Linked DNA regions of Schizosaccharomyces pombe. The protein of the gene in region 1 interacts with the protein of each later gene in a biochemical or structural test. Each region holds a gene or a part of one and is shown in the gene's direction. Other genes may lie near its edges. The genes, in order: ams1 and nbr1.

Region 1 (8,062 bases):
TTGTCGTCTTACTTTTTACACAGTCTCTTACTCATATATAAGGAAGATAATAACTGACGAAAACAGAATCATAAATTAATTAATTATAAAAAAAAAATAGCAAAACGATGCAATTAGAAATCACAAACATTGGAAAGTTAAGGCACGTGGGTTATAAGGAAAAGACACATATAGTATAAAATTGCAAAAAGTATTCATAAAGTGCTTTACAAGTTTGTATTCCCTAGGAAAAAAATGAATAAAATCAAACATAAATTGCTGGTAAACCTTGGCAAAAAGATTCCAGTTTGATTAAGCAATTACACTATATATTGAATTAGAATGAGTAAATACTAACAATTCTTACCACATATAAGGAACCTTTGGAGTATAATTTTTAATGTTTTGAGTTTTTACAACATCGGTAGGATTGTTGTTGTAGGCATTGACAATGGATGAAGAATGAGTGTTAGTTGCAATGGAGTCCATGTCTAATATTGATGAAAAGAACGTAAATAGAAGTGTGTATTAGATGAGAAGTCAATATAACTTGATAATAATTATGTACATTTTCCCTTCCTATAAATACCTTTTGCAAAATGCCAATTCCCCAGAAACTGTGATCTCTTTGTTCATTTGCCTATTGTTTGACCCATTGTTTAATTCTGGAATAGGGATGCCTTATGCCGGTCGCCAAAATATAAACAATGACCGCAAAGATGGCTGAACCATTGTACTTTAGAATATGGTCCTCGTTAAACATTATCTGTTTAATGGTGACTTTTCTTAATGTACAATTGTCAAAGACACCTATTGTGTTGATGCCTTTGTTTATTGCACTATTGAAAAACAATAGGAAGCGGGAGACGAAAAAGCAAACGATAAGTGTTTTGGTACAAAAAAGAGAAGAGAAAACAAAGCTAGTATTAGATGATGCTAATAATCACAATCATGCGTTTCTTTACCACTGTCAATATTTAGGGCAAAAAAAACATGTAGTGATACAATAAAAACAGGTATTACACAACACTGAATTTTCATATATATCAAAAACATTTTACCATAATTTTTATTATTTTAATATTTAAAAAACAATTTTCTTTATCTTCCTGTAATACCTACGTTTAAGCATCCACTTTTCTATTTTCCATTCATAAAATGGAGAGGTATGTTATTCGAAAACAAAACAAACCGCCGTCGTTTGTTACTTGTTTAAATTAAATTCGCGTCGCGTTGTAGCGCGCCGTGTTGTTGTTGTTTAATAATTCACGACAGAAACTTAAGAATAGTCAAGCCATTTAGCTGCTTTACAAATCTTGTTCTTCATCCATAAAACTATCTTTGATTCAAATGTTTCTTCTTTTCACGAGAATTTGATACTTTTTTGTCAATATAATATCCCTCGCTTTTCGCAAATAACGAAAATGAAAATGCGTTTTCAATGCTGCTGAGAATTTTTACTGTACTATATATATGTATTAACAATTCACTACTTTATGAATAATACAATTTAATCTCATGATATTTGAATCTTGTTTCCGACCGCTAATGAAATAGCAAGTTCCACCTTCGCTCACGGTACTTTTGCACATCTCGGCTGGCCTTGCGATAACCTAGTTACATAGTCCAAGCACAGCTCCGTCATTATATAGACATTGGGCTGATTTTTCAACTCGTAAAACCACATTACATACATCGGAATTATGTACCTAATAAAGGACTCAGTTTACATCAACTTCCCGAATTTGATGTGTTTGATAGGAAAGCTGAACATTCTTAGTTTGTACTACATCCACTCTAAATTTATCAGGTCAATTTAATGATTAGTTCGTTATTATTTGGCATACAAACTTGCTTAAATTGAAACTTTTCATTCGCGGATAGACTTCTTGAGGTTGAATCGCATTGTTTGTTTGTTATTGTAACCAACATACTCTCTATTCATTGAGATTTTTTAAGTTACTTATTCTGGTCTTATATAGTTTTTTAAGTCTTTTTTAATTATTGAAAAATAAACAAAGACAGATTAAGTCTTAGCCAATCTATTCTTCCACGTTCCGTTCCTACCAAACGTTTTCAATTTAAAGATCTTCTGCTTTCCTCAGCAGTTTAAGGTTGTTTGGAAATTTTTCAAACAAAAAAACATACCTAAATTACATATACTTTACACCTACCGTGCTATCTTTTCAGCTATAGACGATTGCTATGACACTCTTCCCAGTATTAAATAATACTCCTGTCGGTAAACAAGTTGACTCGATTTACGAAAGTCGTCTTGATCAATTCTTGTCCGAAGGGCAGTATAGAGATTTTAATCTTCCAAGTGTTTACGATCACGCTCGGATTGATAACCCTAGTGGAGATGTTAATAATGATTTATCCAAAGGGTTTGTTGATTTAAAGGTCTACCGTGTACCCGATTTGTCTCGTCCGAGCTTCAATGAAGTGGTAGGACATAAAAAGTTCGATGAAACTGCTTCCAAGGGAGATACATTTGGACCTAGTTGGGCAACTTTCTGGTTCGAGGTTCATATTCGATTGCCAAAGTCGTGGGCTAAATATGAACAGGTTATTTTTCAATGGAATTGCGATAATGAAGGTTTGGTCTATTCACAAGATGGTGTTCCTCTTCAAGCTTTTAGTGGGTCTGAAAGAACTGATTTCATATTGCCCGATTCGTGGAAAACCACTGAAGATACTTTTTATATTGAGATGGCTTGTAATGGGATGTTTGGAACTGGTGCTGGCAGTCAAATTGCTCCTCCTGACCCAAACAGATACTTTACTCTTACCAAAGCTGATTTAGTAGCTCCTAATCTTCCTGCCATGGCTTTGGCATACGACTTTCTTCTTATGCAGCAGTGTGTCAAACAGCTTCCTTCCAATTGTTGGCAGAAATACAAGGCTCGCCAAATTTGTAATGATATTATGAATACTTTTCATCCTAATGACTTATCTACGATTAATGAGTGCCGAAATCTCGCAAAAGCGTTCCTTGGCAATGACATTGATTCTGAGGCAGTTTTTGAGAAGAATAATGACAAAGCAAATGTGTTCGCAATCGGTCATTGTCACATTGATACAGCATGGTTATGGCCGTTTGCAGAAACGAGACGTAAAATAGTCCGTTCTTGGGCTACTCAGATGAACATCATGGATCGTTATCCGGAGTATCAATTTGTTTGCTCGCAGGCACTACAGTATTTGTGGCTCAAGGAAGATCACCCTGATGTGTTTGAGAAGCTAAAAGAATATGTGAATCAAAACAAATTCATCCCGATTGGTGGTAGTTGGGTTGAACATGACACAAATATTCCGAATGGAGAATCCTTAATTCGCCAATTTTTACTGGGACAGCATTTCTTCGAGAAAGAATTTGGAGTACGCTGTCGGACATTTTGGTTACCAGACACTTTCGGGTATTCTAGTCAAATTCCACAAATTTGTCGTCTTTGTGGAATGGATAGATTTCTGACTCAAAAATTGTCATGGAATAATATCAACTCATTTCCTACTTCTACATTTAATTGGGTAGCATTAGACGGCTCCCAAGTTATTTGCCATATGCCGCCTGCAAATACTTATACTGCTGATACCAACGTTAACGACGTGTTGCATTCAATAGATCAACACAAAAATCTTGTTAACGATCAAGCAGGCTTACTCGTTTTTGGTATTGGTGATGGTGGTGGTGGCCCTACTCCCGAAATGCTTGAAAAACTTCGTCGGTGTAAAGGAATTGCGAATACCGTTGGATATTTGCCAAACGTAAAGCTTGGAAATACGGTGGACGAATTTTTTGATGGCATACTTAAAAGAACCAATGCCGGTCAAACGTTACCCTCATGGAATGGAGAATTATATTTTGAATTTCATCGTGGAACGTACACTACGCAGGCCGAGCTTAAGAAATTAATGCGCAAAGTAGAGATAGCGCTGCATGATGCAGAATATGTATCTACTTTGGCTTCTATATTTAGTAAAGATTATTCGTATCCCAAAGAAAGCCTGCAAGACCTCTGGAGAGACACCTTGTTATGTCAGTTTCATGATGTACTTCCTGGATCCTGTATCGAGATGGTTTACAAAGATGCTATTCCTATCATGAGTAAGGTTCTAAAGAATACCGAAGCTCTTTTATGGCAGGCTATCGAACAGCTTGGTTTTAAGAAAGCTTCCTCTTCTGATAATAAAGAACAGTTATGCTTGTTGAATACCCTGCCTTGGAATGTTCGTGGTGTAATCACGGAAACCGAGGAAAACAAGCTCGTTTACTTCGAATCTTGTGACGGTAAAGGAATTTTAACGGCCGCTCATACGTCGCTGAAGCACCCTGCTGCTGCCTATCAGAAAGATGACAATTTCATATTAGTAAACGACCACTTAAGAGTTACTATTGCACCGAATGGTCTTATACTTAGTTTATTTGATTTACACAAAGAACGGGAGATTCTTGATTTAAAATCTGGTAAAAATCATGCAGGAGCTAATCAGTATGTTTTGTTTGAAGATACTCCTTTATCTTGGCAAGCTTGGGATACGGAGGTTTTTTCATTGGAAAAGTATGAAGTTTTAGATAAAGGAAAAGTCAGCATCAAAGAATCTGGTCCTTTGAGAGCATCCGTAGTTGTGGATATCCCTATTAGTGAATTAAGTCATATGAAGGCCACCATCTCCCTTGAAGGGTACAATGATTGTTCCGAGTTTACTGGTGTAAACTTTACTTGCGAAGTGGATTGGCATGAAAGTTGCAAATTCTTGAAAGTGGAGTTTCCCGTCGATATTCATTCTGAATTCGCTAGTTATGAAACGCAATTTGGCATTACTAAAAGGCCTACGCACTACAATACGTCTTGGGACGTTGCTAAATTTGAAGTATGCCATCAAAAATTTGCTGATTATTCGGACTTTACCTACGGAGTATCCGTCCTTAATGATTGTAAATATGGGTTCTCCACACATGGAAATTTAATGAGGCTCTCTTTGCTTAGATCTCCCAAGCAACCAGATGCTCATGCTGACATGGGCAAACACACGATCCGATATGCTGTATATCCCCACTCAAAACCTCTAGATTCTTCTACCGTCCGAGCCGCTCATAAGTTTAATAGTAACTTCCGTTTACTTACTCGTGCTTCTGACACAGCAAATCTAGATATCTTTGATGCTTTCCAACTAGTTGGAGAGCCCAATGTAATATTGAGTCATATAAAGATGGCAGAGAAAGGAAAATCTATTATTCTACGCGTTTATGAATCCCTTGGTGGGAAATCTCGTGCCAGATTGGTTATCAAGTCGCTTACAGTTGCCTCTGTTACGAAATGTAATGGTTTAGAAGAAGACTTGGAAGAATTGTGCACGCTAAAATCGAATGACTATTATGAGGTTCCCATTGAATTGAGAGCTTTTGAGATTGCTACATTCAAGGTGAACCTTTAATATTATATTCATAAAGTACCAAGAGTAAAGAAAGAATATCTATCTTTTCATGATAAATGTGCGCAGTAGAAGTAAACATATTTTAACTAATTGTCTTGGCTTAGGTTTGCAAAGTTTCGTTTAACAACTACTTATAGTACTAACTGTCACGTCAAATTTTAAAAATCTTTCATAAAAATATAAGACTCATAAAAGCAGAAATCCAATTAAGCTCTTTATCCCAGCAGTTACGCAGTGGTATAACGCAAATCAGCAGGATATGTGACATTAATTTGTCTACGAATTTGATCAGTTAATTGCATCATCTTCAATGTCTCCTCATGGGGTATTTCAGGTGCCTCCTTCATGTTTTTTAATAAGCATTCAGCGACGGCATCCTGTTCGTAAAAGAATCCAGTAGCATCATCAAAGGAAAAGTCAAATACCTCTGTCTCCCCAGAAGCACGTATCAATTTAATACTCTGTGGGCGATAGCAATCACCAGAAATGAACAACTGATTACCGTTTTCTCCATCCAATTTAAGAAAATCATCGGACATTTTACCACGATCCATTGAGGTGCATAGCATAGCTATGGATTCTGTTTTTGGAAATACTAGAGTAACTGCTGTAGTATAATCCCCTATATCGCCGTTATGATCTTCAAAGGTAAGAGCGTTTGAGGAAACAGTGGGCTCTTGCTTTTCATTTTTGGGATCATCATAGAGCAGTAATCGAGACCAGGTAAGCGGATAAACACCCATATCTAATAAAACGCCAGCGCCCAAAGAAACGGTGCGTAAACGGGATTCTGAGGGTAGTTCACGGAAACGAAAATCTTGTGAAAAATCTACAAAAAGACGGAAGTGATCACCACAAACACGATCTTCATGTAGAAGAGTCTTGGCAGCCTTTACAATTGGGTAAAAACGGATCCAAAAACCCTCCGCGAAAAATAGATTTCTTGCTCTCGCTAATTCCACCAATTCTAGTGCTTCTGGATAATTAATGGTAAGAGGTTTTTCGCATAAGACTGCTTTGTCGTTCAACAAGGCAAGCTTGACAACTTCATAATGCTGAGGGTGGGTCGAACTAATGTAAACGATATCCACTTTATCATCCTTTACCAATTCCTCATATGAACCGTACGCTTTAGGCTTGCATGGGGCACAATGATTCTTGGCGAAAGAGGAAGCACGGTGTTCACTGTCACGTGTAGCGACAGCCACAATTTCATGTTGAACTTTGTGACGCTCTGGTACGCCTACGAGATCTTTGGCAAAGACCGCAGCTATACTTCCTGCACCCAAGAACCCCCAATGAATTACAGGACTGGCACCACTCATAGAAGTCATTTTCAAAACTTACGTTCAACGAATCAAAGGAAAATTACGATTGTATATTATGAGAAGAAAAACTGAATTATATTTTTCCAACCGTTTGTTTGACCCAAGTGTCCGTTTTATAGCAACAAAAAGTTGGAGAATTAAGCAAACACAGAAGAAACCACAGAGCAAAGAAGTGGTTATGAGTTCAGTACTTATCGAAGCTTATATACATTTACAATTATGTAAGCGTAAGTACATGTGTTTCCAATTTGCGTGCTAAATAATAAGATTTTCGTTAGCTATCGGGATATCGCTTTGAAGTCACCACTATGAAGTAAATGAGTGTCATTAAAAATGATTGACTACCGAGAGTGATTGCTTATGAATAAAAGATCATATTATGACCTGAATATGTCTATCACACTGTTCACTCTTTAATAGGAATGTTGTTAAGTAGTAGATTGAAAATTTTGAAACTCAGTACATCTTGGAATGGTGGAAGTTTGAATACCTAGAGAAAACATGTGCGATAGTCGTACACAAGTTTATGGTTCCAGAATTTGGTCTAACACTTGGAATCAAGTTGTTTTGTCAATTCGTTACTTCTAAGACAAACTGTAAATATACTAGGGTTTTATCGACTAAGTCTGTGTTTTATCCTTAAACGAAAAATTGATGGGATCATAGCGTCAAAGGTAAAAACTATACTACTTGGGAGTTAATCCTTTGAATATGCATTCATGAATATGAAGTTGATTTTTTAAATTGATCCATATCATTCGTATGCGAACGTACTGCTATAAGAAAATACTTTTATTTACAGATAATATTAATTATCGTATTGCAAATTCCATAAAGCTGTATACATATGAGATAGCGTAAAGCGTCATTTATCGGTTTATTATTTTACAGAATTAAAATAATTCATGCGGTATATACTTTGTAACGCTTTTCCACGTGCGTTGTTAAAAAGATGAGATGGTAGCTATAACAAATAGACAAAAGAAGTTAAAGATAGACGTTCATTGAAAGCATATTTTTTTAGAAACTTTCAATCAAAGGAGAAGGAGGAACAGGAAACAAAAAATAAGTCCTAGGAATAATACGCTAGCTATGTTCAAAATTAAACAAGTTCCGAAAGATTTCGTTGCGCTGCATTGCGATATGCTATTTGTCCTATTAACCAAATGTGTATAATCTTGGCTACTGTATTAAACACATAGTTAATTTTGGCAAAAGGTATTTAATATTTACAAATACTACTTGGGGATAAATTCAATTGCAAAATTAATTATTTCTATTCATTCATATAGATAATAAAATCCAACAGTTCGATT
Region 2 (4,876 bases), on another chromosome or scaffold:
CAACGTTATTCATGGAGCGCAATGTTAAATCTTTTTCATTAGGCATGTATGGTAATGGTGAACTTAATAACTGGTATTTCTTCTTTTCTTTTGATTACTTTTCAGTTATGTACGCAATGAACTACGAATTATGGGGAACACGGTAACGGGAATTATTGGATAGACATATATATTATTTTTAATAAAGTTTGACTAAAACAAAGGAAAGTTATAGCATAAAAAGTCCATTAGCAACATTTAATAGTAAACGGTCGTAATTCAGTGAATAGCAAAAGGTGCATAGCTAAGACGACAAGTATTTAAGACCAGCATGTAATCCTAGTGCAAATGTGGAGAGACGAACATCAATGGCAAATCCCTTCTTCTCTAAAGAAAATAATTCCTCTTGTAAAGAAGAAAGCTTGATTGGAAAGTTCTCAATGTATTCGCCATCGTCAAGTTGTTGTTGAGGATTTTGGTTTTCAGGCTTCGACATGTCAATGTCAGCCAGTATAATCTTAAGATTAGCATTCGTAAGACCCGGATCATTGTACATGACAGTGGTGGAGTCCATAACAGTACCAACGTAGCCAGTCTCTTCACGAAGCTCTCGAATCGCAGCATCTTCACAAGACTCCTTAGAATCAACTAAACCTGCTGGAATTTCAATACAAAACTTGCCAATAGGAGGACGAAATTGCTTTTGGCACAACACATGAGGACTTCCGTCGATAGGAACAATGGCTAAGATGGCTACGGCATCCACATTGGCTTCTGAACGTGTCGTACGTTCAGCCATTTCCCAAAACCTGATTTTTCCTTTTTCGTCTTGCCAACGGATTTTCTTTAAGGATGTCCACTTGGCATCCTGATTCTCAAGGTTGGACACTTCCAAAACTTTAGGTTTTTGATCTTGGCTCATTTTATCAATACAGGTGCTCAAACCTTTGACAGTGTATGAAGGGTGTTGGAATGAAGTTGCTGATATTTGAAAAGAGAAGGTGGAAATAGCGATGTGAGAATATGAGCTAATCAATTTCGGAGGATGCTGGTGTCTACCAACGTTAAGTAAATATCGGGTTAGAAATGAAGTTGCATTTATACCTAATGTTCTTGTACTTTTAATAATATGCTGGAAAAAATTTCGGTGCATGAGTGACTTAAAATCCAACTGAAATATTGCTTACTTTTTTCCCGTTAATGCGTAAACGTGCGATTAGTATGACAATGTAAGTATGATGTTAATTTGTTTTGACGTATATTTACAAATTTCATTAATGTAAATATTAACAATCAGCAAAAAACCAAAATTATTATTTGAGCAAAATCATAACGCGGAGTATACCATTAATTATTAACTTAGCTATAAACTGGTCGTTTATCACCTTCTCTAGTGTCTTTTCATTTGCAATTGATTTTACAAACGGATCATCAAAAGATACCGTGACCGGTTTTAGCCAATATAATGGAGTTTTTCCTACCCTTTTCTATTATTGTAGTAAAAGATTTTACGCTGTAAGAGAAATTGCATTTATTTACGTTTTCAGTTCATAATCGCTTATTGATATTAGAATAGCGTCAACTTATGATTTAAGAATATATAATATTAATACTTTATCGACTCACATCTCATTTAAATTACATTTATGCCATAACCCATATCTAGTTTAATGTCTAAGCCGATTTCTAAGTACATTTTAGGGCTTAAGTTAAGTAGTTTCCAATTTAACTAAATCAATTTCTTTTTCAAGTTTGCTACATCAACAAAATTTTTCATATATTCATTTTTAGGGCCATGCGTTGAAGTACCAACCTCTTGTAGATAAATTCGCTAAGTTACTGTTTATGCTGTGCACGCTTCTAAACGCTACCACTTTTTAGCGACGCTTAACTTATCTATTATCAGTACGATATGCTCATCCCCCATATACGTGTGATAAGCTTACACCTCGACCTCGTTCATTTACATTACCATCAACTTCTACTAGCGAATTTGTCCTGCTCACTTCACCCGTTGAATACATCCCATTTAGAATTAATAGCTTGATTTCATAACCAATTAGGAACCCGTCATTATAGTTGCAATTCCAACGCTCCTTACATTTCGTTTGCACTGTATCTCTACACATCCGCTTCAATTATTTGTTTTGTCTTTATTTCCTGTTCCGTCTATAGGTAAGATAATTTACTTGCACAAAGTCTTAAGTTCAATGTTTGTACAACAAATTACAAAAAGGATTGAAGGACTAAAGTGGTTGATGGAACTTTAATAATAACATCTTCGATAAATATTTACGAGAACGTAAAAATCCTTGTCTTGATAAAGATTGTTTTTTCTATTGCCTTTACTCTGAAATTGCTAGCACTGTTGCTCACTTCGGCGTCACATATTTCCTCAATTTCAAAATTCATATGAACTATTAAATTTTACTTTGCAACTAATTTCATTAGTTAATATCGTTACTAATTTTGCTTTAGCTTATTTCGAAAGAGCTTTTTACCTACAATTAAGACCTTCTCTTACCTAAGAACTCGAGTTACTTCTTGACTGCTTACGCGATTTTTTTCTTTTTTTTGCTTTCTTTAACGCTCTCTTTTATCATTAAATTTTATTTTATTTTATTCACGTTTTTGATCCCGAAATGCTTTGCAATCGTACATGTCCCTCTTCTGATTGTGGGATTCTTTGCAACCATAGTGTTCCTTCCTTCCCTCCTTTTCATTCCTCAGTCGCTAATATCCACTTCACTAAGGAGAATAATTTAAAGTCAAACATTTTTGAGCACAATAATAATTCGCCTACTTTAAGGTCTTCTTCTGTTGCTTGTAACACTTGCCTCAAGATAATTCGGAATGACTCATTTCATTGCACAAAGTGTTTCGATTTCGATGTTTGTAGAGACTGCTATGCGAAACAGGCATTCCTCCATCCTTGCCCAAAACCCCATTTCGTACTTGTTCGCTCTTCAATCCCTTCAGTTGCTTCCTTAACCTGCAGCGTAAATTCTATGTCAGTTTCTCCCCAATCTAATTTTATGTACGCCATTTGTGACCATTGTGAGCAACCTATACATAATGTGCGTTACAAGTGTAGTGTTTGTGATGACTACGACATTTGTGAGTCTTGCCTTACCGACAATAGTCATTCAAACACGCATGCTTTCGTTCGAATTACTAAAGCTTATCCTCATGGTCTTCCTTCATTTCATTTGTTCCCTCAGTTCCTATCAGCCGAATTGTTTGAGTCTGCCTCAACAGTACATCGATCGGTTCAATGTGACAACTGTCTTGCTCATCCAATAGTTGGACCAAGATTTCATTGTCTGGTTTGTGAAGACTATGATCTTTGCTCCTCATGTGTATCTCATGTGCATCATGATCATCATTCAATGCTCCGTTTAACTCGCGAAATATCTGCTTCACCTTTACATTTATCTAAACCTGAAAAACCTAAGGTTCTTAATTTCGACTTCAAGTTAGTTGAGGACTCCATTCTCCCCTTAGAATTAAGCCCTGGCTGCCCGTTTTATAAAATATGGCATATAAGGAATACTTCTTGTCAATCGTGGCCTTCTCCGTTGTATGTCAAGTTTAATGGTGGAGACAAACTTTTTCCAGGAGACAATCCATATTCGTTTCCTATCACTTCTTCCGTTCATCCTGGTGAGGATGTTAATTTTACAGTTGCTTTGAAGGTTCCTGAAAAAAGTAACAAAGAGATTTTTACCGCATTTTTTAATATCTGCTCCGATGATGGTAGCGTTTTTCACAAAAGTCTTTGCGCCTTCCTTCGTGTACCGAAGTCTTTTAGCAGAATTAGTAAGTCGTCTTTTTGAAACCATTCGTAACGCTTTTTATGTCCTGTAGAAGTTTAGTGTGGAAGACAACGATAACGAAACTGATTTCAGTTTTATATTTCTTTCTTTTGTCCACTTGTCTGGCGGTTGTTCGTATATAACCGCCGGTTTTAAGTTCATGATTTGCTTCAGAGTTGAATCACTTGTTACCATATTTGATCCTACCTTGTTATAATGATCTTGATGGAAATGCTATATATGTTTAAAATTTATATTAAAAATTATATATTAACGAATAAAATGCAGGATACATATGAATATGCCAGATTAAATAATAGTATACATTGATGATAAAACTCTAAAGAGTTTTTGCTTCATTAATTATGGATTCCTTTATGATTACTTTCGATGAAAGTTCATTAGTTTTGGCACTGCTTGATACAGTAGGTTCCTCCTTTTTTTGTAGAAACGAGTTTAATCTAGCCATAGCTTGTTTTTTGATGTGAAATGGTTCTCGTGATTTGCTAAGCGAATCTTTTAGTCTATAAATCGCTTCCTTATTTCGTAACATAGGGCACGTGTCCCTTCCACTAAAGTGAGGTGTTCCACATAAAAAGCATATTTCTAATGGCACAATGCTTAATGGACAATGTGCTGGTAAATGTTTAATACCACAACATCGACAACGTACATTATCAGACAAAGAAGACAGTAGAAAAAAGTTGTCAAGAACTGCTTTAGACAAAGATCTTCCAACCAGTTGATGATTTTTTTCAATTATTTCGTAAGGTGGGTAAAAAACTGGATCGTCTATCAGTTGCATTTCCGAATCATTAATATACTCTGAAGAAGTTAATTTGTTAGCCACCTCTAAATTGATGGTGGATAGAGTTTTGTTAAATTCATCTTCTTTGGGAGTTGTTGCTAATAGAGATTTAGCTAAGATAGAGTCAAAATGAACATCTGCAGACTTTTGAGAATCAGATTCATCATTTAAGTTTTCGATATTTACGCTCGAATCATATTTGAGTTTTTGCTTATCAGATAAAGTATCTGTTATCGAACTGATTGTCTCAGTTTCTATGGGAAATGGGGAGCCT

The links.
Region 2: the proteins of ams1 (region 1) and nbr1 are reported together in a solved structure, tested with the Schizosaccharomyces pombe proteins (one study listed by BioGRID).

The regions. Positions count from the first base shown.
Region 1 is NC_003424.3:2,912,717-2,920,778, forward strand, and holds ams1 (alpha-mannosidase), read left to right. Parts: upstream 1-1,762; 5' UTR 1,763-2,184; coding exon 2,185-5,418; 3' UTR 5,419-5,645; coding exon of another isoform or gene 5,646-6,752; 3' UTR 6,753-7,562; downstream 7,563-8,062. Other genes in the region: M-factor precursor Mfm2, read right to left, coding at 292-304, 347-468; SPOM_SPAC513.04 (uncharacterized protein), read left to right, coding at 687-989; dhd1 (dihydrodiol dehydrogenase), read right to left, coding at 5,646-6,752.
Region 2 is NC_003423.3:985,583-990,458, reverse strand, and holds nbr1 (protein Nbr1), read left to right. Parts: upstream 1-1,949; 5' UTR 1,950-2,154; intron 2,155-2,457; 5' UTR 2,458-2,621; coding exon 2,622-3,815; 3' UTR 3,816-4,076; downstream 4,077-4,876. Other genes in the region: Swr1 complex histone chaperone module subunit Swc2, read left to right, coding at 1-42; subfamily NudF ADP-ribose diphosphatase Ysa1, read right to left, coding at 284-901; SHREC complex ATP-dependent chromatin remodeller Mit1, read right to left, coding at 4,135-4,876.